2 linked regions of the Drosophila melanogaster genome follow. Changing the gene in region 2 together with the main gene of any one other region gives a genetic interaction. Each region holds a gene or a part of one and is shown on either strand. Other genes may lie near its edges.

What was found. A genetic interaction does not mean that the proteins touch.
Region 1: of Arr2 (region 2) and lace, changing one suppresses a phenotype caused by changing the other (phenotypic suppression), as found in Drosophila melanogaster (one study listed by BioGRID).

What each region holds. Positions count from the first base shown.
Region 1 is NT_033779.5:15,496,603-15,501,280, reverse strand, and holds the start of lace (lace), read right to left. Parts: upstream 2,155-4,678; 5' UTR 2,061-2,154; coding exon 1,857-2,060; intron 1-1,856.
Region 2 is NT_037436.4:8,646,723-8,651,400, reverse strand, and holds Arr2 (arrestin 2), read left to right. Parts: upstream 1-2,464; 5' UTR 2,465-2,575; coding exon 2,576-3,431; intron 3,432-3,498; coding exon 3,499-3,693; intron 3,694-3,755; coding exon 3,756-3,910; 3' UTR 3,911-4,140; downstream 4,141-4,678. Other genes in the region: Pex7 (peroxin 7), read right to left, coding at 685-859, 942-1,694, 1,763-1,854. UniProt on the Drosophila melanogaster protein: Regulates photoreceptor cell deactivation. Arr1 and Arr2 proteins are mediators of rhodopsin inactivation and are essential for the termination of the phototransduction cascade.

The DNA of each region.
Region 1 (4,678 bases), on a different chromosome or scaffold from region 2:
TTAATGGAGTCCCAGTGTTAGGGTATATAGACGAGCTCGAAGCTACCGTAGAAAGATCAAAATCGAAACCGACATAAATAAATAAATAGAAAAAGTGTAATACTAATTACGCTATGGGTCGCGTACAGAAGGACAGCTAAGTAGGGAGCATGGTGTGGGATCCAGATAATGACTTCCATATGTTGGGGATCCATGGAGTCCAAGATAACGACTGACAATCGACCAGCGCACGCCAAGTTCTAACCGATTTTGTGGGGATTCCAAGAAGTATTAGCTGTGAGTCAGTAGATAATTGCTTTGGCAATTTCATATTCTTAAGTATTTCTTTTTTATTTAAGCCTTTACCTTTGAAATCATGCATACTGTAATCTTGCCGAGCTGATAAAAGTTTTCTATCCGTTGATATTGGAGATATGAGACTTGCACGCGCTAACATTATTTTCGTGTGATTAAAAATTTGAAAAGGTCTTTAGTTGCCATTAAATCAAGCTGAATGATTTCAATAAGTTGTCGCCATGGTACGGAACTATTTCATTAAATAAATTTTATGTAAACCATTGTATTACTTTCCGAAAAAAAGAAATACAAAGCTACCAATAATGAAATCTTTAGGTACTTAAAAGAAAACTAACAATTGCTCACTCCCCAAAGATCGAATTGTATCGGAATTACCCAATGAATGTAATGTTATAATATGTTTATCTTATCTTTTTAAAAAGTTATGAATAATAAAAAATATGATAATCGGTTAAGTATACCCGCCAACAGTTATTCTTTGGCAGCCCAGACGCAGGGAGAGTCCATGAATTTTAAAACAAAACTCTTATCACCGACAAATCAACGCCCACCCAAAACCGCTGCCTTCGGAGATTGCGGAGCATTGTGATTCACCAGCGAATCGCATTCTGCGAGGCTTTACGTAAAAGACTGGTGGAATGGGCCTGATAAGGCGAGCCGGGCATGGCGTGGCATGACAATATTATGACCAGACCAGCATTGTGCCGCTCTCCCCACACACATTGTGCACCCAAACTACGTACTTATGTGTGTGTTTGCTTTGGGGTCGTACTCCAGTCACTAGGAAAATTTCGAATGAGTGCAGGAGTGCCGAAGAAGAGACAATGGCTAGATTAGAGAGTGCATGTGGTAAAATGGACTAGCGTACCAAACAGTTTAACGCACATCTAAAATAGGTATTATGAAATTTCTGAAATCTAAGTTACTTTAACATGCTGATGTTCTTATCTTAGGGCTTAGTCAATTGTAAGATAGCTATCTCAGAGGAATGTATAGACTACTTAAAATTATAATAATGAAAGTGAAATAATATTGCCCAATACTTTAATTTCCAACACTACAAATTGCCTTTCATGATCACAATTTATGAAATAACTCTCTGATCGTATATGATGATAGGATATTTCCGCAGAGTTCTAATAGTTTCTATCATCCGGAAGTAGCCAAAATACGCCAAATGGTCAGCACTCGCGGCGAAAAGGAAAACACGCGAGGAAAACACTGCAGTGGAGGGAAAACAGCTGTGGCTGCCCGATGACCCAGAAGCGGGAAAAGCGGAGGAAAATCGCCAAAAAGGGCAGCAAAAATTGGGCCGAAATTCTCCAGCTGACGCACGCCTTCACTCTCACTCTCTCTCCCTCTCTCTTATGCGCGCTCCCTCGCTCTCACACAAAATCAATAATTCGCCGGCTGGAAGAGCGAGCGAGAGGGTGAATGGAACCAGCTATGGAACCACATTTTTGGCCAATTTTTATGGCCTTTTAGCTCGTTATTTTCGTTTCGTCCAAGTGTTTAACTCGCGTTTCACCCCGCACACTGAGCGAAAATGCCTGGCTCACCTGGGCGTCGTTTGCGGGCTTCGGCTGGCAGCGTCGCGTGCGAATTTCAGTGTACGCGGGTGCCGAGAACTTCCGGAGAAGTTCCTGTTTTTCCGGGGCACTGAGATCTGCCGCCCCATTGCCATTCGGCACCTTTCCGTTTCCGTTGGTCGTCGCATAGCTCTGCTCGAAAACCGTTCCAGAATCGCCGTCGAAATTGCCCATTATTCCGTTGCCGATTTCCGATTACTCAGCGGACAAAAAATTACGGAGAGATCGATGCGTTTTGCTTAAATAGGTTTCTTTCTAATTGGAATGGTGTGGCCAGTTACTCGGCCAGCTGTTATACTGAAAACTGCGCGCCTTCGGTATTTTAAGGTACTTATCGTATTTTCACATATAATTTAAAAGGCCACATTTTGTGGAATAACGCTTCCGGTTGTGTTCTCTGCTTTTAGTACTGCCAGCTCCTAGCGAATACCTCCACCATGCAAGCAGTTCAAGCCACAGTGCTGTTTAGTATACTTTCTGAGCGCCAGATGTCGCAAAAGAGAAGTAGATTTTTGTATTAATTAGATTTTCAAAGAAATTTATTTAAACTAAAATGGTTTCTATTTTAGTCACATAGGGGTTCAACTTAAATTATTTGACAGCAATTTAATGAAAATATATAAATTTATATATGATACGAGGGTTCAACAATGTATCATTTAAGTGGGAGATAAGCTAAAAAAAATAATGTTTTATATTCCATTACATATTAGAAACCACAAGTTTTCAGACTTAACACGTCAAGCATTTTCCCCTTGAGCATTAAAATCGGTCCAAAACTTACGCAAAGAAAAATTCCGCCTCGCCGGCAATAATAAATTAGATTAAAATGCACAAAGAAAAGGAGGAAAACAGAATTTCAGGCAACAGATATTCAGATAAAAGTGCGTAAAGCGGCAATTGTAGTAAAATTCATGAGCTGCGAAGTGCGTTGACTCTTTGCCGCAAGGAGACACGTCTCGGGCAGTGGATTTCGCCTCATAAATAGATCATCTCCATACCGCAGGCTTTTGTTTTTCTTCACATTTTATTGCGGAAGAATTTCGACTATTTTGTAAATTAATCTGCTGTGGCCGGCCGATGACACTTTTCAAGGATTTTCAGAGCCCATTTCAAAATCAAAACATTGAACTCGCATTTCAGTTTCGTTTTCAGTATGCGCCGCATCCCAACTGTGGGTAAACAACATGAAAACGACGCTAAGGCTTCTAATTGAGTTGGAAGCTTTTGTGGCAGATGTAGCCTCTGCAAAATGCCAACACGTTCCCCGGCAAAAGCTGCACCGATCGCTACATCGATATGCAAATGATTGCCAAATTGTCGTAGCCGGAGATGCCAAAAATTTGAAACCCAATCTGAGTCCAAGTCACCAAAGTGGGTGCTACTGTCAGGGCTGAAGCCCTTTGAGCCGCAGGCCCAGAAAGCGGGTCACGTCGGGTTTTCATCCAGCGATTGCCGATCGACGCCAGCGGCACCCTGAAGGCAAAAGTTTCCGCCGATGCCAGAGGGAAAATCACATACCCTTTTCGAGAAGGTTTCATTTATTTCTCAAAGCACTTAATCAAGGATGAGGATATTCTAAAATATAGCATATATTATTACTTGGTCTATTTTAGTAACATGTAAATATTGTATAATAAATTAAATAGGATTTTTATATTCCACTTGACAATCTCATGACATTGAAAGTATATAATGTAAAGTTGAAAATTTCATGAATTTGTTGACTTCGATCATTATTACTTATTTCTATATTTTGCACTTCTATGCCAAGTTAATCCCTAAAACGGAGAAAAATGCATTGTATCTCAAAGCTAGCCAATTTCTGTCAAAGATTCTTAATGCTTATCTCGATGATCTGATGGTGCAAATCGCTTTTGAATGCCACAAACCGTGTTTCTGTCTGCAATTTCGGTCCGCTAACTGCGATTTCGGTTGTCTGTGTATTTTTGGTGTTGCTGCTAGTTGTCGATTGCCGGTTGTTGTTGGTTGCATGTTGGCGGTTTTGCACTTTGGCTGGTTCGCTTATCGAGTGCGGAGTTCAAGTACAATGGCAGTTGAGTCGTTTTTCGGTCCTGACAAATATTTGGCAATTGTGTAATCAAATTACCGGATCAAATCTGACTTGCCGCCTTTGCTGGGAAATTCACCAGCAAAATGGTATCATATTGCTAATTAGTCACCAACGTAAATGAAGTGACTTGTAATTTAAAATTTTCTGTATACCATTTCTACCAAACAATATTTAGTAGTAAGATTAATAATTAAGACCGAAATCTCTGCGAACTTATGAGCACTAATCCAGATATAAATATCCTTGGCAAGCCCTTAGTAATAACTTGTTGTGGCCCCTTTGTATACAATTAGTTATAGTATTCGCTCTCGTTCCATCAGCAGCATACTTGTAGCTCTTGGCCCGCTTTGCATAATTACGACTTGGCTGGCTTAATAAACAAGAAAAGTTCACAATTTCCATCGGGCGACGCAGGCGTTGCTCTAACAAGCATAAAAAACGCATTTGCATTTCCACATGCATTTGTGCGTGCGTGGGTGTTGCAGTTGCCGTTGTTGCTGCTGCCGCAGCCGATGAATCACGCGTGATATTTCGCAGTTGCAGTCTGTGAACTATTGTCTACCTCTGCTGCCGTATTATACTCTTATTTATCTGCCCCAACCCGAAGTACTCCCCCCGGGCCAATAAAATGGACTTTGTACTCCGCCAACGGGTTGACATTTTCATTATGGAAACTCTTTTATTTTTCCTTATTGTGTGGACATGTTTTCTCGCTCTG
Region 2 (4,678 bases):
GGGAGCAACTGCTGCCATTTCACACCATGCCATGCCGAAAAGGTGCGATGGCTGGCACACCTTTGGGCAATATCCACCTTGTTGGCTGTGTCAATTCCGGGAATGACAGGGATTTCGGCTCCACTCGGGCAATAAAACGTTGCAGCAAATTAGCGCTTTATTGCGTGTTTGTTTGGTCAGAGTTAAGCCAACCGGATAAGGATGCCAAGTCAATCTCCGTCAGCGTCTGGCTGGCTCTTTGCCACCTAACCAATTCGAACTCCAATTCCGTGATCCGTTAAATTCTTGTTAAGACAAGGGCCGAGTGCAAATTATAGCCAGGGGCCAAGAAACTTATTGCGAAGGCCATAATAACATACAGAGCAGCGCAGAAAACCCATATAATTCATATAATACTCGTGATATATGTAAGCTTTTATTGACATTTTGAAGCACCTGCTTGAGGTTTTAGCCCGTTCAGCGTTTATCACACAGCTATTTACACGTCATCGTTGCGCCGATGAGTCCTTGTCTTCGGTTCCTTACAGTTCCTTATAGGCATTGCATATAGCTCAGCTATCGTAATAACGGTGCACCGCTTGTAGGCCTGGCTATTTCGACGCCACTAGCGCCTTATCACATGTGTTTTCGGTATTTAGGGAGTACCAGTTCCAGTTTCCAGTTTTGGGCATGCCCTGTACTAACCTAGACGACCAGATCACCGCTCAGACACTGCGGGGTATAAACGTTGGCCAACGAGTCCCAGCCACAGTCGGCCAACTGATGGGTCCTGTGGGGATTCCAATCCAATCCGCACACGAACTCCGTGTGCCGCGCATTGACCTCCTGGGCGGACTCACCACGCTCCAGATTCCAAATCCTAAAAAGGTGACAAAAGTGGACAGTTGTTACTAACCATAAAAATGTCCTGTTTTTTGAAAGCCTAAGATCATTCCACTTACCTTGTGGTAAAATCATAATTGGCCGATGCCAAGACCGCTGCCGAGTGCGGTGAACAGGCCAATCGCCGGACAGCGAATTCTCCAGAGTACAGCTCAAAGACGTGCGTCCTCATCTTGCGCAGATCCCAGCCGCGGATCAGACCGTCCGAACCTCCAGTGACCAGGACATTGCGATCGAAGTGCGACCAGTCGCAGCATAGTGCCTCACTCGCATGCGCCTCGATGCTCATCAGGGGTTTACCTGCAAAGTCAAGAGAGTTCCATAAGTTAAGATGTCCATCGGTACTTACGCTTGCAAACAGATTGGCGATCAGGGGCGAGAACTTGGCCCCGTAGATCAGATCGTTGTGGCCCACAAATGTGGTGATGGAGTTCTGTCTGTTGCAGTCCCACAATTTCAGTGTACAATCCCAGCTGCCCGAGAGCAGCGTGTGGTAGTTCCACTTCTCGCCCCAGTCCAGGCTGTACACCTCGTTCTTGTGCTCCTGCAGGCAGATCAGCGGCTGTTTCGGCGTCAGCTGGTTGCTCGCCGATTCGCCATCCAATCCGCACCAGATCTGAAGCGATCCATCTCCGGAGGCAGTGGCGGCGATATCGGCGGCATACGGACACCAGGCGACGTCGAACAATCCATCGGACCACTCTAGGCGGCACAGCTCTCCGAGACTCTGGCCATCTGTGGATGAGGAATTTGTGTTGGAGTTCTGTTCCAGCAGAAAGAGGGAACCACCTCCAGCAAGACCGTACAGTTGGCTGGGTATCGAAAAAAAATGGTTTTCTATTAGTATATTGTTGGTTTTAGAGCTTAAGATTGATCTCACCTTGTAGCTAGCAGCAAGTAGTTAGCCTCGAAAGGCGAAAAGCGCAGGCTATAGCCATGTCGGTCTGTGGTGGTGTGTGTCTGTGTCTGCATCTTGGTTCTAGATCTCAACTGCAAAGAAAAAAAAAGGAGAGATTCAAAATAATACCAATTTCTCTGGACCTTAAATATTATCTAACATTAACTACAATGAATTGCGACCTTTGGTAAGCTAGTTGTAAGAAATGCCAATTTCAATTATACCTCTCACATTAAAATCAATATATCGACGTTTGATACATAACAAAATTAAAAACATCTAAGGTTTCTCCTTGCTGCCCACTGATGTTTGGCTAAGAGAGAACAAAACTGGCCGATTGATAACAACCCGGTAACACCAAATCGGATGCTAATCCAGCTCCAACCTACCATGCTCAATTATTCAACAGTTGGCCAAATGACCTCGTACTAGGTCGGAAAATCGGAAAAAGATACTTGACATTAGCCAATTTGCTCGGGCAAGTGGCAAACTGCGCAGAAAATAGAACAACCCCTGGAAGCAGCTTGTTTGCAGTTTTCCCTTAGTTCCTATGGTTCTATCTTATTGTCGTGTTGGACAAGCCAACAAACAAGTGCATAACGAGCAAATCCAGTTAGTGGCCAGAATGAAGACCCACGGACAGGGCCAGGGCAAAGGTATATAAGCAGGTTGTACGGCACTTGGGTTTCGCATTTTCCTCCGCCGAACGGAAAACTCTATAACGCGCATCGCCCGACTTAGCCTCGAATTGCCCAGTTGCATTTGCCAGGAATCAAAGAAATCCACTAATCCACAATGGTTGTATCCGTGAAGGTCTTTAAGAAGGCCACGCCCAACGGCAAGGTCACCTTTTATCTGGGACGCCGCGACTTCATCGACCACATCGACTACTGTGATCCCGTCGATGGAGTGATTGTGGTGGAACCGGACTATCTAAAGAACAGGAAAGTCTTTGGCCAACTGGCCACCACCTATCGCTATGGTCGCGAGGAGGACGAGGTCATGGGAGTGAAGTTCTCCAAGGAGCTTATCCTGTGCCGGGAGCAAATTGTGCCCATGACCAATCCCAACATGGAGATGACACCGATGCAGGAGAAGCTGGTCCGCAAACTGGGCAGCAACGCCTATCCGTTCACCTTCCACTTCCCGCCCAATTCGCCCAGCTCCGTTACTCTGCAGCAGGAGGGCGACGACAATGGCAAGCCCCTGGGCGTCGAGTACACCATCCGGGCATTTGTGGGCGACTCCGAGGACGATCGCCAGCACAAGCGGAGCATGGTCAGTCTGGTGATCAAGAAGCTGCAGTACGCTCCCCTCAATCGTGGCCAGCGTCTGCCCAGCTCGCTGGTCAGCAAGGGATTCACCTTCTCGAATGGCAAGATCAGTCTGGAGGTTACGCTGGACAGGGAGATCTACTATCATGGCGAGAAGACGGCTGCCACCGTCCAGGTGTCGAACAACTCCAAGAAGTCCGTGAAGAGCATCAAGTGCTTCATTGTGCAGCACACTGAGATCACCATGGTGAACGCCCAGTTCAGCAAGCATGTGGCCCAGCTGGAGACCAAGGAGGGCTGCCCCATCACTCCGGGCGCCAATCTCACCAAGACCTTCTACTTGATTCCGCTGGCGGCTAACAACAAGGATCGCCATGGTAGGATTTGGATGTGATAGTTGTGATTCTGGATAGTTTCTAATGGATTATTTAATTGTGAACTCAGGTATCGCCCTGGATGGTCACTTGAAGGACGAGGATGTCAACCTGGCTTCATCCACCATGGTGCAGGAGGGCAAGTCCACGGGAGATGCCTGTGGTATTGTCATCTCGTACTCGGTGCGCATTAAGCTCAACTGCGGCACTCTGGGAGGTGAAATGCAGACGGATGTGCCCTTCAAGCTACTCCAACCGGCACCTGGTAAGCTTTAGAAGATTACTTGAACTTGACTTCTAGTTTGTAATTCCTTTGATGTGGTATAGGAACCATTGAGAAGAAGCGCTCGAATGCCATGAAGAAAATGAAGTCCATCGAGCAGCACCGCAATGTGAAGGGCTATTACCAGGATGATGACGATAATATTGTATTCGAGGACTTCGCCAAGATGCGCATGAACAATGTGAACATGGCGGACTAGGCCACCGATCTTCAATCTCTTCTAGCTCTGTTGTGAACCGAATTGAACTAAATCGAAAGCACTGAAAATTTGTTGCAGCAGTCTCTCGTGGAGGCCACAATCTTTGTATTATAATCGTATCTATAATGTAACTTTGGTGGATCTGGAGTTTGTACCCGTACATATGCATGTTGATGAGTTGAACAGACCTCGTGTCGCTATATTATAAATGTGTTATGGCTATCAAAAGCACTCACCTTTTCTCTCGTTTGCGATGTAGTATCCAAAAGTGATTCGGTAAGGATTCGGTTTTTGGTAGTGGATTGTTCTTGGCGGTGCTGTGGGTTTCAACTTCAGAAGTCGAATGATCTAAACAACTGCGCAGCTCGACGACGAAGGATCTGCTGGCAGGAATTCTAAGGGTGATTTTTCAACGATGACAGGGGGTTGAAAAGCCCAATGCTTATAGGTCACATCGTAGGCTTTCAACCCCTTGCAAGAAGCAACAGGCTGCCAGGATATGTGTTCCACCAATCAGGATCAACCAGAACTGGATATGGCCGGCTCTAACGGTCAACGGAAGTTCCAAGCTCCAGATGTTGACAATGCGTTTGCCAAAATACACAATTTTTGTGTATGCTAAATAGCCCAAGCTTTTGACCTTGATGATGGCTAAGGCCGCCAGCTGCCAGCAGTTTGATTCTAGGTCTCATCCCCGTCAGTCTAGCTGATTTTCCTCTTTTTTTTGGTTTTTTCTATTTTACAATTTTCTCGCATTTTATTTGCCAT